Daphnia pulex: one gene and its partner. Each later gene encodes a partner of the first gene's protein in a complex. Links are inferred from orthologs where the notes say so. Each region holds a gene or a part of one and is shown in the gene's direction. Other genes may lie near its edges.

Region 1 (8,253 bases):
GATAAGAGTAGTTATTCTTGCGTGACTTAGATTTGTGAAGTAGTCACGCTACAATCGTTTTGTAAAGGAATTAATTGTATGAATTGCGACAGCATTCTACCGTAAAACGTTTTCATGTGAAACCATTTTGAAATCCCTGATTTCTTCTAAGAAAACCCACTCAAAATTACCACCTGTTACGTCCGAGTTTGAATATAGACTCGATACAAACCTCAGATTCTTTCAAGATTTATTGTGTACCATTTAAATACTGACATATTGTCTGTAATTACATCAAGGATTCAAGGCAGTAGCACCTCATTCTGGTTTCTAATCTAACAACGTTCCAATGGTGTCAAGAGGAAGACTTCCCTGCTCCAGTATAAAAACAAGAACAAATTTCACCATAGTAAAGAGAAAAGTAAATCCACGGAGAGTAGAATAAACCGTTTGACACATTGATGTGGAATTGTGGATTGACCTAAAAAAACAAACGCCAAAAGCGCGAATGTGTATTTTAATCCTTTATATAATGTGCGCTTTCCATTTTTGAAATGAAGCAGTGTTCGTGTTCGCCACACTTTGGCTGATAATTTATTTTTGTACGTGACGTATATAGAGACCCTTTCACAGAAATTGTTTTATGCAAGACCACCACTGACTTTTATTTGATGTGGGTTAATTCGTAACTTGTCGGTTTCTTTTCATATAAAGTACGATTGCGGAGTCACACTATGTACAGCAACAAGTGACGCGCAGAGAAAATTGCTTAGCTAGACTAGACCATCCTAGATTCAGCAGAGAATTAAAATAGCTATGATGAAATTAATATCAGTAATTTATTGTGTGAACCGGCGATTAGGCTACGGCTTCGCATCCGAATAAAGTTTTATGTTCAAGTCTAGGCTTTTCGTATGAACTACTATGTATGTTGATTTTGTATATAGTATATGTTTCACTCGTACGTTATTAGGATTATGGCTGCTTGTGCCGAAATTAAAAGGTTAGCGGTAAAATATGGAAAAATATTTTGCCTCCTATTTTGAGTCCGATTAAAATATTATCTAAAGTGGTACGTGATTTTATCGTTTCCGGTTTCTAGTATAGTGTCACGATGATACTAAATATCAAGATTCTGTTTGAACTTGAAGATAATGCCGACAGTTTGTGCCATAGCAACACAGACATAAGAAAACGCGTTATATCTTGATTTGAAATGTTTTTGCGTCACGAAGAAGCTTTAAAAACGTTGAAATATCAAAGTACTGGTTCAGTTCTTGGTTACAGTTCACCTAAAATAGTGAGTTTTACATTCGTTGCGTGTAACAAAGGCATCCAACACAGGCCCACGCTTTCGCATTTCAGCAAGCAATGAAGATATACCTGGTGCTCTTCTTAACGGTATTTACGGTAACTGCTACAGGTGAATTCAGTTTTGCAATGGTCAGGGGAGTTATGGTGCAATATTTTATTAACAAATACGTTTTTTGAAAGCAGCCAGCAGTCTCGCACGGTTTCCCTTGAGTGTTTTCCTTGATACTGAACTAATAAGAACTAAACGTGATGGACGCATCATCGGTGGAGCCGATGCGAAAGAAGGAGAATTCCCCTGGATGGTTCGTTAATTTTCTCTCGCTAAATTTGAAAATGTTGTCGTTATTTCTAGTATTGTGACTCATTGTTGGTACGTAACTCTTTTCTTCTTCATCCTTTAAAGGTTTCGTTGCAGAGAAATGGCTTTTTCGGGCGTTCTCATTTTTGTGCCGGTTCGATAGCAGATGCGAGCAGTATCATCACTGCGGCTCATTGTTTAGAAGAGTATAAGCAATACGTTTTAAATTTCACCAAGAGAAAGTTTGAATGATAATAACCGCAAGATTCACGTACTATATAGGCTTCATCCAATTGGAGTTTGGGCGGTTGCTGGCGAACACAGGTTAGATCTCGTTAGTGGTTATGAACAAGAGCTGAGAGCAGTCCAATTTGTTCTTCACGAAGAATATGACCCAGATTACCTGAGGAATGATATTGGAATAATTCGATTAAATGGAGCCTTCGTATTCAACTCTTACTTGAAACAAGTTAAACTTCCTAGATCCGGCTACTTTACTCATCCAGACACGGCCGTTACGGTCGCAGGTTGGGGAACCACAAAAGTACGCGTTTAATAATAAATTCATTAATTTAAGGCTCATCTCTTTTGAGAACTTTAAGCGCATGAATAATTTAAACTCGAGGATGCTGAAATAAATTCGCTTATGCAGGAAGGAGGGAATTTATCTAATGTGCTACTAAAAACGACAGTTCCTGTGGTATCCGACGAAGACTGCCGCTTAATTTATGGTGCAGGGCTAATTGTTGATTCCATGCTATGCGCTGGATATACATCCGGAGGCTATGATTCGTGTCAGGTATATGCAGAAAATTTAATTCTGATAAGTTAATTTAAGTCTGATATTAAATAATGACACCAAAATTTTACAAAAATATAGGGAGATTCTGGTGGACAGCTCATGTTGGGTGACAAAACTCTTGTTGGTATTGTGTCTTGGGGTAAAGGCTGTGGTCAACCTGATTATCCCGGTAAATTACAACACTTTGCAATAAATTTATTGAATGATCTTGTTGATTTTTCGCTATCTTTTAATAAGGTGTTTACACCGAAGTTTCGGCTTATATCGGATGGATTAATATGAAATTATCAACGGCGGAAGCTTCCACAACAACACAAACATCTCGTAATTGAATAATTAATAAAATGTGGCTAAATTTTAAAATAAAAAAATGGGCACGCAAATCTAACGATAAACATACGTAATTATTTTTGTACAATATTGAAATATCAAATATGAGAGAAACTTTGCTATCTGAATAAAATGTATGTAAATCAAATTTTCAAAAGGCAACAAACTTTCATTTTGCGTTACTAGTGAACACATGGTCCAATCCAATCCAATCCAAGGAAAACATCTGGTGGGGCGTCCATAATCCTACTTTTTTGCGTTATCGAAAAAAGGTAGCGTGGATGAATTTTGAAAAGTTTATTCCCCAATACTCCCAATAAACCCGTTTGTGTAGGCCTAATTAGAGAAAGCGAGAGAAAGAAAACGTACGGTACTTGATCGGACATTGGAGATCAAGATCCACATGAAAACGTATGCAAACATATTGATATCGTTGCATTTTGATCGACTGACAATATTTTGCCTTATTTATTTATGATATGGGAATATCTGCGCGATTGTGAGTTGATTGTGGAAGAAAAAATTGAAACACTTTATCCGTTTACCAATAGATGTCGAAAAATACGTCGTCTGCAGAACGTTATTTTCAAAACACGGCGAGACCTGAACCGCCTGAACTTCAACATGGCAAGGATCGTTCGCATTTTCAAAACCCTGCGAAATAATTGGAAGAAATCAACCGTTGGTTTTCTCCTCGTTTCTTATGGAGTAAACTATGGCGTCACAAAATTCAGGTACTCATAGAAGTGAAATGTATTTTACCAATGATTATGTCTTAAAATATTTCTCCCATTGGTGCAGGACTAAAGAGATGTTGAGACTTTATTGTGAGGAAGCTAAAAGCTATGGGGATGTTCCACTTCCTATAGGACTACCTGCTCGCCAAATAACTGTAGTGTTGAATCCCGCTTCAAATGGAGGGTGCTGCACTTAATATTTTCTCAAATCACTTTGACGTTTTTAAAAGTTAATTTTAAATGTGTATAGGAAAGGCAAATCAGAATTTGAGGATTATTGTGCTCCATTACTTTATCTTTCTGGAATGAAGGTTTGAGTCTCATTATTTATTTTTGTTTGACCTTAATAAGTTCTCATTCTCTATTCCAGGTCAGTGTGGTCAAAACTGAATCTGTTGGAGAAGCCAGGGGATTGATGGAAGTGATGGATAACTGTGATGCAGTAGTTGTTGCTGGTGGAGATGGAGCCATAACAGAAGCTGTAACTGGATTGCTGAGAAGGAATGATAGTGGGTTAGCAGTCCAACGATTTCCTATTGGTATCACAATGAATTATATATTTCCCTAAACATTTTGTTTGAAAATATGTTTCTTCTCCAGGTATCATCCCTGTAGGAAAACTCAATAACATTGCAAAATCTATCTTTAAAGAACATAAAGGTATGCAATATTTTGATGGTTTAAAAATGCAGCTTTTAATTGATTCTACTATTACCCCTTGGTCTCTTTTCAGATGATAGAATCAAACTCATGGCTGAAGCAACTATGGCAATAATAAGAGACTTTCAAAAACAGGTAGATGTTATGAAGGTAGAAATATTGGAAAATTCAGAAAATCCTACTGGAAAACCAGTTTACGCACTTGGTGAACTGAAATGGGGAGCATTTCGAGATGTCGAGGAAAGAATTGGGAAATACTGGTTGTGGGGACCACTGAAGTCATATGCCGCCTATTTCTTTGGAGCTTTCAAAAATCTCACGTGGGAGTGCAATGCACAGTTTCACTATACCGTACCGTGTGAGGGTTGTAATAACTGTATGAGAAACAATTTGCAAGATGCAAATGAGCTGAAATTTGGTTCGCAAGTACAGAATTCTCGATGGTGGCATGCTTTTATACCACGAACTAGATCCGTCAAAGGTAATTGTATTCCTTTTATCAGGTCATTCACGTTATCTTAACATATTATTTACAAATTTCTCTAGATACAAAACAAGTCAAAGATTATTCAAAAGTTGTTAATCCCGAATGTGGGGTATGGCATCAGAAGGATTTCTCATCCGTAGAGTTCCAAGTTCTAACCGAAAACAATGTAAATTTCAGTCCTCCAAATCTACCGAAACATTTGGAAGTCAATCTTGGTAAAACATCTTTTAAATAGCTGAAACCTGTGAGTGATAATTAAAAAAAAAATTCACTCTCTCACTTAGGACCTGAAAATATAAGTGGATTTGAGTTCGTGAAAGAGGGTTGGTTAAGGACCAAAACAGAGACCAGTCAAAATAATCGCGAAAAGATTCTCGTACGCCAATTTGAAATGATCCCTAAAATTGAAGAAAGTTCGATAGCGGAAAAGGAAACAACTGAAGAGGGAAAAAGTGTTGAAGTTGAAGAAAGGTGGTATTCGATAGACAATGACAACTACGAAGTTAAACCAATTCGAGTCACCGTTTTACCAGACGCCATTAAAGTTTTTAGCGCATCTACCAGTAGATAAATTGTATTTATAAGAAAATAAAACAATTTATATAGCTTTCACAATTCATTTTTTAATCTTGATCCCGATAAAGAAGGACCTTTAGATATTTTCTTTCTCACTTTCTTCTTTTCGACATTTTCGGGTAAAGGATCTGGTTTCTTTCGATTTGCCTCTGCGTATGGATTAAAATAATTTGATTCTCGTTCGACCAAATTTAATTCTTGCGCAACCTGCAATATTTTCAAATGTCAAGCATTAAGAAGATGAATAACACTAGAATGGTTTGATTAAAGAAACATTGAAATTTACCAAGTGCAGCATTTTCTTTGTTGCAGTGCTCAAAAAGACAGACTGTTGACAAATACTTAAACTCCATTTGAATATGGTATTCCATTCATTATTTTTAAGAAACGCTTTTGTTGCATCAGGTAAATAGAGCACAAGATCCCCCATAAATGCAGTATTTTCTATCATGCTTGACAGAGCTATTTTAAAATGCCTCATCATCATTAGCTATAATTTCAGAATAATAAAACCAATAAATAATACCATCACGAAGAGATTCATCTTGAGGAAAATCAGATTCTGGAAGATAGCCAGAGCTTTCCAGCTTGATTCTACTATGAGTTAGAACCTACAAAAACTTGAATTAATTACAGCCTTTTTCCGTTTTCTGAAATGTTAGTCTAACAACCTCCATGATTTTGGTTATGACAAGTTCCAGAAGCTTGCGTTGTTTTTCAATTGATTTGACTTCTGCAATCCGTTGAACTGCATCTTTCTGTTCACTTCTTTTAAGTTGGAACAATCTATCAACTAATGGAGACACAATTGAAAAGGCATGAATAACCAAGAAACTCACACTGGTGGGTACAAGGCTATTATAATGAGAGGAAACGTAATACTTACACAGAGCAACCGCGTTAGAATTTATATTTCCCCGAGTTACTGGAACAGTTTTCGTTTGATCTGAGGGACTTATTTTGTCGCCAGCACTTACCAATGATGCACAAAACAACAAAATGTAGCAAAAATTGTTCGAATGCCCCGCCATGTCAGAATTTTCCCAAAATCGCAGGTTGTTGTGAATTGTATGTCGTCTGCATTACTCGATTGATTTCTTTCCTGCAGATGGCGTCCTGTACTCCTGTTGCTTGCAGCAAGTGGTAACTGCGAGAGTGCGAGTGCGATCGAAGTAGTTGAATCACAAGCACGTGTGGTGCTTGCCAGAAATCGTGAATAAAAAAAAACTCGTTTGCTCTGTAAATTTGGAATATCCATTTACAGTTTCATCAGTATCCACCATCACTCGTCCCTAGGTGAGTTCTGATTACCAGATAATTACGTAGAGTTGTGTGTAGAGAGTTAAAACAATAATGGCGGCATGATTGCTTCATCGATCATCCATGAACACATTGATGTAAGTCACGTAACTTCTCTTGTAATTGTTTTTTTGTGACCCCCACGCTTTGACATTGAAACATAGTTATTAGACGGTTGGTTTTTTTAAATGTTACGTGTTATTTGGCAAGATCACAGAGCAAAAAGAAGTGTTACGCGAGTTGTAAAGTGTGAAAGTTCTCATCTTGAATGGTGATTCGAGAACGATTGCTGATGCTGTTGGCGTTCCAAAAATGTCTTAGGAAATATTTTTAGAACTAGTATGTCTTTGGCTCTTTGCAAACGAGCTGTTGGCTTGATTGATCGCGTTGTCTTTATCTGTTGAATCCAAAAGAAGGTAGCAAATGAAATCACAGAAATTCAAGAATCGCGAGAGATTTTCGAAGAAATTAGTCCGGTGTGTGTTAGCCAGCTGTTGTTGTTTGGACTGTAGACAAAGTAGAATGACAGTTTGATTTATGAATACGCATTACATGTAAAGCACGACGGTGGAGAACATTAAATGTGTGCGTTCGTATTCTGCTGGATTTGGGTACGGTGGTCACGACTCGTGTGAGTGTGCCGTACCCTGGCCAGCACGCAAAGGTCGAGCACGTCAAAAGTCTGTTATACTGTCGGCGAAGGACACCCGCCCGTTTCGTGGCCAAGTTCTTGGCAGCCGCTCTTGCGTGAGTCGAGTCCACCTTTCATTATATTATTGGGCCGCGATCAAGAGTAATAGTCTGCAGACTGCAAAGTCAGGTAACTAATGCATATATAACTATATAAAAGCGTTACCGTGTTGCTGCTCGGCCAGATGTGACACTGCTGTGCCCAGACTGCCCGAGTCGTGACGATAAACATCGACTCCATTTAATGTCTTTGATGGATGATCGCCGATCTTCACGGTTCTATACTTTGATTCAATTACGATGATAATGGCGGGATCTCATGAATGAGCTGGCAAGCACGCCATTTTAGTTAGGGCACCTTATATCTTTTTCTCTGTAGTTTCACATGGCACACCGAAGGTCGTAAACTTCAAAAGCCGTAAAAAAACAAAAAACTGCCCCTCCAGTGATGCTGAAAAGTGGTCAAACTTGATCTCCGCTATTATTCCGAAAGACTCTCTTGTTGCTGTCCGTTTTTTTTTTTCGTTCGCCATGCCACTGCTGGGTGTCTACTATTGAGAAAGGACGAATCCATCCATCGGGTTCGTTTTGTGTGTCATTTGAATATGCCCACAAATAATAATACGGAGCAAGGCCTTGTTCGCTATTGCTACTGTGCGCTTGATTCATGTCTTCATAATCGTCAACGAACCCAACTGTGGAAAAAGCAATCGCCCCAGCCGGGCATCGATTCCCAGAAATACGTCAATGCGCATTGCCCTGCCAGCCTGCTTTTTGTTGCTTCGGCGTGTCCCGCTACTTCACGTTCGTGACGCCGTCACGACAGCTTGATCGCGGGCAAATATAGTATAACTGCCGACAGCAGGGACCACCACTATGTCAAGGAAGATGGCGTGTGTTTGCGGCCAGTTAATAATATTTTATTTTCCATTTTTGTTCGCCCCTTTTGTGCTCGATAATTTAATTCACCGAGTTGTGAATTGCCGAGTTCTACTTATCGTCCCCTATTCTCCGACACGTGGATTAAATTTCCTCCTCTTTTGTCGATATTAATCTTGTTTTATAGACTGTTCCAGATAGC
Region 2 (8,085 bases), on another chromosome or scaffold:
TGCTGCCCCCCTTCTATAGTACATTTTTTCGCCCCTTTTCATTTTCCCTTATCAATTTTTGGAACCCGCATCATCGGTTGTTTCTTTTTTCCAACGTGTTATTTGAAAACAACCGGGAAAAAATCAAATTCGACGATATTATTCTAATACACATTCTATATAATACAGCCCGCCGCAGAAGAAGACTGTGCCCAAGGGATTGACGGCGGCTCGTCGCGGGAGTCACGACGAGCTGTGGCGTCATTCGCGTGATCCCCTCAAACTGCCGCTGCTTCGCAAATTATCGTCCAAGGAGGAATTGAGTCACGAAGCCATTTTCGCATTCCAGGCTTGTTTGAAGTACATGGGTGACATTCCTTACCGTCGGGCCCGCTCGGCCAATGAACTGACCGACCAGATCTTCGAGGGACCCTTGAAACACGTAAGCACCGAAAATTCGTCATCTCTCCATTCAAACATTTCGTGGGGCTGAATAAACGAGTTGGACTCGTTTCACCGACATCATCATAATCGCTGCCAACTGTGCTTTGACTATATACAGGAACAATTACGAGACGAGGTGTACTGCCAAATCATGAAACAACTGACTGACAATCGCAATCGATTGAGCGAAGAACGCGGATGGGAATTGATGTGGTTGGCTACCGGATTGTTCGCCTGCTCGCAAAACCTACTCAAAGTACGTCACTGGTTTGAATTTTGCCTCCACTTTTTTTTACAGTTATATGGGGGGTTTTGGTCCGGGTTCGCGTGCCTCTCGGATATCACCTCATTAGACCGTCAATAAGCATTTTTAAAAAGCCCGCATTTTTCTATAATGGACGTTGGTTTTTTTCTTCGGCACTGCTGCCCATCTGCTGCCGCAGTTTATTTGTTTGCTTGTCTTTTGACCTTGGCACGGACCATCTGTCGCCTCGGTTTTTTGACGTTGCGTCCAACAGGTGTGAGATGTAAACGACAGCGATATGCTTCCAGCGTTCTTCTGAAATGTTGTATTATTATTTATTTCGGGCTCGGCGCGGCCGCCCAGCGCACAGCGTGATATCTACTCCCGACATTCGTTTCACTTGTCACGTCTGTTTTGTTTTTGTTTGTTTGGTTTTTTCCCGAAAAAGGAATTGACGCTATTCTTGCGGACGCGCCGTCATCCGATCGCCACCGACTCGCTTCAGCGGCTGCAAAAGACGCTGCGACACGGACAGAGAAAGTACCCGCCTCATCAGGTGGAAGTGGAAGCCATCCAGCACAAAACGACGCAAATCTTTCACAAAGTTTATTTCCCCGACGACACGGACGAGGTGAATACTCGGAATTTTCTTTTTTCCCCTCTCACTTTGAGTGTCAACAACATCGTTTCAATTTCATTGGGTTGTTTTATATTTTCTGTTCTCTTTTCAATGTTTTTATGCGCAATTCCAGGCCTTTGAAGTCGATTCTTCCACCAGAGCTAAAGACTTTTGCCAAAGCATCTCGCAGCGACTGGCACTCAAGTCGGACGAAGGTTTCAGTCTCTTTGTCAAGATTGCCGACAAGGTCATTTCGGTGCCCGAAGAAGACTTTTTCTTTGATTTCGTCCGCCACTTGACGGACTGGATCAAAAAGGCCAAACCGACCAAAGACGGTAACGTTCACATCGTCTACAATTTTATCGTTATCCCTTTTTCTTTATTATATGTTTATGGCCTGGACAGGTATCACGCCTCAATTCACCTACCAAGTGTTTTTCATGAAGAAACTGTGGACCAACACCGTGCCGGGCAAAGACCGCAACGCCGATACCATCTTCCATTTCCACCAAGAGTTGCCTAAACTGCTGAGAGGCTATCACCGCTGCAACAAGGACGAAGCCATCCGTCTGGCCGCTTTCATTTACCGCGTCCGCTTCGGCGAGAGCAAAGCCGAGCTGGCCAACGTGCCGCAAATGCTACGCGACCTGGTCCCGGCCGATCTGATCAAACTTTTAGGCAACAATGATTGGAAGAAAACTATCACGGCTGCTCACGCTCAAGATTCAGGTTTGACATTTGATTGAATGATTGACTTGATTCCATTTGGTGTTGACGCCACATCGTTTTGAATTGAACATTTTAGGAATGAGTGCCGAAGACGCCAAGATCAACTTTCTAAAGATTATTTACCGCTGGCCAACGTTTGGTTCGGCCTTCTTCGAAGTCAAACAAACGACCGAGCCCAATTTCCCCGAACAGCTTTTGATTGCCATCAACAAAAGCGGAGTCTGTCTGATCCATCCACAGACTAAGGTGAATATCGCACACCCGCCATTATCTTTCTTTTTTGAACTCGGAATTAACATTTGTTCGTGTTCTAGGACATTTTGGTGACTCACCCGTTCACGCGCATCTCCAACTGGTCTTCGGGCAACACTTACTTCCACATGACTATCGGCAACCTGGTGCGAGGATCGAAATTGCTGTGCGAAACCTCGCTCGGCTACAAGATGGACGACTTGCTCACCTCCTACATCTCCTTGATGTTGAATACCATGAACAAGCAAAAGTCCATGCGGCTCTAATAATTTGCTCGCTCTTATTCTTCACCATTTTATCCCATTCAAACGAGAACGTAAATGTTGGCTATCGAGATGAGCTTCGTTCCTTTGGTCAGTTTATAGATTGATTTTCCATCACGAGAATTAGCAACTTTGTGAATAGTTTCTGAATTTTGCGATATTTTGCCACTACCTAGTTTTCCGTGTTTTTTTTTGAATTATTTTTAATTGACACCGGGGTCATCTGCTTTTGACGGGGTCTACTATTGTCAATGCATGCTTCGCTAGCTCTCCTCAAAAGCAAGGAACGATCCCGTTTCCCCTTTGCAGTTTTCATCGCCCTCATAATCGTCTTTTAACAAATTTATGTATATGTTATTTGAAAAATGAAGAATTATAATAAAGCATTTTACACTCGAAATCAATAGATAAACAAGTAAATTAATTTTTAAATTTTTTTAAACAAAATACGGATATGTTGACGTTTCGGCTAATGTGGCAACCCGGTGAGCCATATGTTTTGCAGACGACATGAATTGTCAATTTGTGGAAAGTAATTCGAAATGGATGCACTCAGGAACGTAAGTTTTTAGAAAATGTATTTGAATTGTAATTAATGCCAGAAAGTTAATTGATCTCTTCTTCCTAGTTTAAAGATTTTCTCTTAGTGTTCAACAAAATGTCAGAAACTTGTTTCACGCGATGCGTGAACACATTTCAGACTAGAGAGCTGACTGAAGATGAGGTAGGCTAAGAACATGAGGTTTCTCTTTCATAACATATCAGACCAATAGTTATTTTTTTGTTTTTGCTTTTTTTTAGGATAAATGTGTTGAAATGTGCTCAACGAAGAACATTAGAGTCAACCATAAAATCATGTCTGTGTATATGGAAGTTCAACCTCTAATTGTGCAAAAGCGAGTGGAAGAGATGGAGAAACTTAACCCACCACAAGCAGTCGCAGAAACTATTCCTGAAGTTGCTGAAATTAACACAGTTGCACAGTCAGTCATAATAGCAGAAACTGAGCCTCAACATGTTTCACAAGAGACCTCATCTTTAGAGCCTCAAGTTGTGTAAAATAGTGACACATACCAACAGGACAGAAATGAATCAGTGTTATTGCATTGTGGTGTTACTAGGTTTGCCTGCCAGTGGAAAGAGCTGGTTAGCAGGAAGATTATGTAGTTTTTTAACAGAAAACAATTGCATTGTGAATTGTGCAACTTTTGATACTATTGTGAGTTTAGAAAAACAGGCTGAAATTGCTGTTTCGTCATCTAGTGAAATAACAAAGCATTACCGTCGCGAGATGAAAGACACTGTGGAGTCTTTCTTGAAAGTGCCCAATCCTTCTTCCAAAAAGTGTGTCGTAATTGTTGATGATAACAACTACTATCGAAGTATGCGGTATGAATATCATCAGTTAGCGGCCAAATTCTACACAGGCTACCTTCAAATTTATGTCAAATGCGAAGTGTCTGAAGCGTTACTCCAAAACAACAGTCGTCCGCAAAGCAGCCGTGTTCCTGACATTGTAATCACTCAAATGAACACCAAATTTGAAGATCCCTGTGAAGCGTGGGAAAATTCTTTGACGATTGGACACATTGATTTAAATGATACAGAAATATTGAACAAGATATGGAATTACATCCAGAATGCTGTGGATAGTCCTGTCTCAACATTGAAGACTCTAGAAGAAAAGAAGCTTGCGTCCGAGCAAAGCAAACTACGCAACGATCACAACATCTTTCACAATATCGACAAAGTTCTTAGAAAAAGATTAAACCAATGTATACGCGAACGTAAAGAAGAAAAAGACGCTCGTGTATTGGCAGCACAACTAAACGACACTCGACAATCTATTTTGGAAGGGATCAAAACAGGCGCCATTGCAATCCCGACAGACATTCTGAAGGCGGATGGATCCATCGATTTATCTATCCTTGAGGTTTGGTCCATTTCAGCTTTTATCCAGAGGTGTCCGTTATAACATGGACATGATTTGGTCATACTAGAATACAATTTGTTAAAAATAGCTGAAATAATAATAAACAACACAATAGAGATCACCTCTTCCTTTTTCTCTTGTTCCTGAGCAACAAGTTTTGAAAGAGCCATCTGAAATCTTTGCTTGAGGGCGGCGTTTTCAATTGTAGCTAGCTCGTTTTCTTGAGCTTGTCTCATGTTCTTGATCTCACGGATTTCATCCCTCAGTTTATCAGCCATTTTTTGCAAATCGTCTTAACGACAAATGATATTAATTTTTAAAGCAGAAAAACAAATTTGAAATGTTTACCTTTTTGTGTGTCGATGACCTTTTTTTGTGGAGATAGATTAGAAGAACTGCTGTCATCCCGAAACATATCTCCGCTAAATTGGGTTATCATAGAATTGGACCCCTAAAAAAGAGAATGTAACAACTATCGAAACAAATTTAATTATTTTAAATTTGGTACCCTGTTGCTTCCTGCATAGAACTCCGAACCCGATCCACGGGATTCGTCACTGTTTTCGTAGTCTGATTCCATAATGTTGATCTTGCTTCCATGTTCTTCATCTGAGTCGCTTAGTGCCTCACCAAAAATATCGTGTTCGGCTATAGATAACAGAAGTATGAAGCAATTTGAACGAGTGCTGAAAACCGTTGGTTTTTACAAAACATACCCAAGCCACGGTTTTGTGTGCTAACGAATGTTCCGGATGCAAGAGGGACGGTCATTGCTGCCCCATCTCCCAACCCAGCTTCATTGGCTGCCTTTACCTTAGATTCATCTTCTTCTGTGATCAGTTCCCATCGTACACTTACCGCTTCATTATCAACACGCAGTAGGCGCCTGACTTCTTTTTCGATTTCAGGAGCCTCAACGTACTTCTTTTTAAGGGTTTTTCGAAATCTCCTTTTCCTGACATTCTTCATTGGTGGAGCTATGCCGTGAGGCATAAGGAATTTTTTATCGACCTTATGAGGATCTTTTTTCTTTGGTTTAACAGGAGTTTCTTCTTCACTACTTGACTGTTGTTCTCCTTCTTTACAAATCAATATCTTCAAATTTTAAATATCAGGTAAAATCAATATTCTAAGAATTTGAATTGAATTATTACTCACCTGGCTGACATCAGCGGCTTTGTAAAATGTTTTATTGTCAATGGTTTTTTGAGATTCCATGACACATGGAAGATCTAAAACCTAAGTAAATATTTGTTTTACAATTGAATATCAAATACTCTAATTAAGAATAACACCTTGGCAGACATAGTCCAATTGTCAAACTGAACCTGTCCTTTCCTCATGTCATTATCCATTCTAATATTTAGGCGGTCCTTCAGATTCATCACACCTGTCCTTAGAGTTTGTCGCAAACTTTCGGCACATTCCTACCACAAACACATTAAAGAATTTCAGTTTAAGACAATAATAATGTGAATACAAGTGTCCAAAGAACTCACTGGTAAGGTTGGTGGGAGTCTCAATATAAACTGATTTTCCAACTCATCTCCTCCATTATCATTTGTACTGCTAGGTGGTAGAACTGTAGGTCTATTCATTTTTTAACAATTGAGCCTACCACTAATATTATTATATCACGAGTCACTATAAAAATTAGAATCAAATATTCGTGATTCGTCGTTCACGAGCAGACGCCACAACAATGTCGGACTGTCACTGTAGGCGTAGGCCGTGTAGCAACGTCAGCGTTGTACTGTATTTTAGACGTTGCTATACTTTCATACTTTTGTATTACTAAACTATTGTTCCAGGATTCATTTCTATTTAATAATTGGTAATTTAAAGAGAAAATAAATTTATCTAAGACAAAACGGGGATCAGAATACTTTTCAAATAAGAAATAACTCTTTACTTTTGTTGCTCGCCGCTAGGATCAAGAGCAAGATATCTCGAATCTCGATTCTCGAGTTTGTTTTGTTGTCGAGTCTGCAAAAACTTTTCCAACATGGCAGCCGCTAGAGCAGTAAAAATTTTGCCCCATGTGAAAGAGATTCGGATTCATCTTTGCCAAAAGTCAGACGCCAGCAAAGGGGTTAGGTAAATGAAGAGTGTGTTAAATGAAATGTAAAATGCGAATAATCTTTTATTGTGAAAGACGTGAATTATTCTGTGTAGACGTATAATCATGGTGTAATCGTAGAGAATAGTCTCATTCAGTCATTCCCTTAATTTTATCATTTTAACTCTTCATCTTCATGGTGTTATTACTATTCATTTTAGAGATTTCATTGAAAAGCATTACATCGACTTGAAGAAAACCAATCCCAAAACACCTATCCTCATCAGGGAATGCAGTGGTATCCTGCCAAAAATCTGTGCCCGACATGGTTGGTTTACATATTCTAATTTGGATTCATAGTAAAAATTACCTTAATTGTCTTTTTAATTTATAGAGAAAGGCCTGGAAGTAAGTGCCCCAGTAATGAACCTGTCTGCTGAGAAAGTTCACTCAGTTTTGGAAAGTCTTGTTCTAAAGAAGTAAAATATTGTTCTTTATTTGTAGAAGTATTGTGTAAATAGAAAAGTTAGGATGAAAAATTTACACAGTCCTTGCCATATTTCATAGTTTATTTTCATTATCACCATTTGACACTTAATTCAATCTTATATTGATTTAGCCTGGTCTATAGTTATTCATTTTCATCACCAGCAGGTGGCTTTGTTCCTTTGGAAAATTTGCAATGGAGGTTCATATGTCTTTTTACTTTAGAATTGCTTGTGAATTTTGATTCACAGTTTAGACAACTGAAAGCTTTTTCACCTAGTTTAAATTGTAAATTCATATTATAATAATAGATATTTCAATTTGGCAATGTGCTCTGGTTATAAAAAATTGACAGCCGTACCTGTGTGAGACATTTTATGGGTTTTAAGTCGGTGTGTTGTTCGGAAACATCTACCGCAAGTTTCACACTGGAATGGTTTCGCACCTGTATGTTCTTGTTTGTGTATCTTCAAATTCATTGGGTGAGTATATGCTAAACGCAAAATGAATTAGTAAGTAAATTTAAAAACTAAGATCCACAATGGTTAATTACCTTTATCACAAAGATCACACTTAAATGGTTTCTCCTTTGTGTGAGTCAGTTCGTGCATTTGCAGATTATTTTTTAATCTGAAAGCTTTGCCACAGAACTCACAAATGAATTGATAGTCAGCAGAGTGTAGTTTTTGATGATTTCTTAAATATGACAAGGTAAAGAACTGTTTGTTACATTCTTCACAAACATATGGCTTATTCCCAGTATGACGATTAAGGTGGTCCATGTACTTTAGCATAGATACAAAGTTCGCTCCACACTCGGTGCAAAGATGTTTATCACGGCTAGAGTGCCCAGTATTTTTTGTTTCTTTTTCAACTGTATGCACCAACGGTTTGCTAGTGCAACATTCTTGAGCTTCTTTATTTTCTTCAGTTCCCTCTTTGTTTATTAGACCGTTTTGAACATCAACTATTTCAGTTTCTTCAACTTTTATAAGAACTTCCATTATGATTAAATACCCCTTTTTATACTAGTTTTGATGCCCATTCAGAACTTTCAACCGAATAATGATGCAGCAC

The links.
Region 2: acylglycerol kinase, mitochondrial-like (region 1) and mitochondrial import inner membrane translocase subunit Tim10 B-like share a complex: the UniProt entries of both Homo sapiens proteins name them as parts of the TIM22 complex. The link is inferred for Daphnia pulex from reciprocal best matches to the Homo sapiens genes AGK and TIMM10B.

What each region holds. Positions count from the first base shown.
Region 1 is NC_060017.1:2,648,598-2,656,850, reverse strand, and holds acylglycerol kinase, mitochondrial-like, read left to right. Parts: upstream 1-3,111; 5' UTR 3,112-3,126; coding exon 3,127-3,134; intron 3,135-3,274; coding exon 3,275-3,457; intron 3,458-3,524; coding exon 3,525-3,644; intron 3,645-3,710; coding exon 3,711-3,771; intron 3,772-3,830; coding exon 3,831-3,999; intron 4,000-4,060; coding exon 4,061-4,120; intron 4,121-4,193; coding exon 4,194-4,601; intron 4,602-4,666; coding exon 4,667-4,822; intron 4,823-4,891; coding exon 4,892-5,178; 3' UTR 5,179-5,216; downstream 5,217-8,253. Other genes in the region: trypsin-1-like, read left to right, coding at 1,351-1,402, 1,474-1,595, 1,697-1,797, 1,874-2,135, 2,244-2,390, 2,472-2,562, 2,631-2,725; coiled-coil domain-containing protein 134-like, read right to left, coding at 5,217-5,390, 5,470-5,645, 5,710-5,794, 5,855-5,976, 6,070-6,214. UniProt on the Homo sapiens protein: Lipid kinase that can phosphorylate both monoacylglycerol and diacylglycerol to form lysophosphatidic acid (LPA) and phosphatidic acid (PA), respectively. Does not phosphorylate sphingosine. Phosphorylates ceramide.
Region 2 is NC_060022.1:1,978,044-1,986,128, forward strand, and holds mitochondrial import inner membrane translocase subunit Tim10 B-like, read left to right. Parts: upstream 1-2,981; 5' UTR 2,982-3,072; coding exon 3,073-3,090; intron 3,091-3,158; coding exon 3,159-3,254; intron 3,255-3,331; coding exon 3,332-3,589; 3' UTR 3,590-3,617; coding exon of another isoform or gene 3,618-4,526; 3' UTR 4,527-4,584; downstream 4,585-8,085. Other genes in the region: myosin-VIIa-like, read left to right, coding at 169-421, 542-679, 1,116-1,298, 1,420-1,621, 1,692-2,015, 2,092-2,261, 2,330-2,533; L-seryl-tRNA(Sec) kinase-like, read left to right, coding at 3,618-4,505; transcription initiation factor TFIID subunit 7-like, read right to left, coding at 4,500-4,526, 4,586-4,755, 4,812-4,914, 4,972-5,111, 5,180-5,558, 5,622-5,702, 5,759-5,890, 5,963-6,061; NADH dehydrogenase [ubiquinone] 1 alpha subcomplex subunit 2-like, read left to right, coding at 6,469-6,560, 6,744-6,850, 6,917-7,005; putative zinc finger protein 66, read right to left, coding at 7,154-7,284, 7,370-7,501, 7,562-8,036. UniProt on the Homo sapiens protein: Component of the TIM22 complex, a complex that mediates the import and insertion of multi-pass transmembrane proteins into the mitochondrial inner membrane.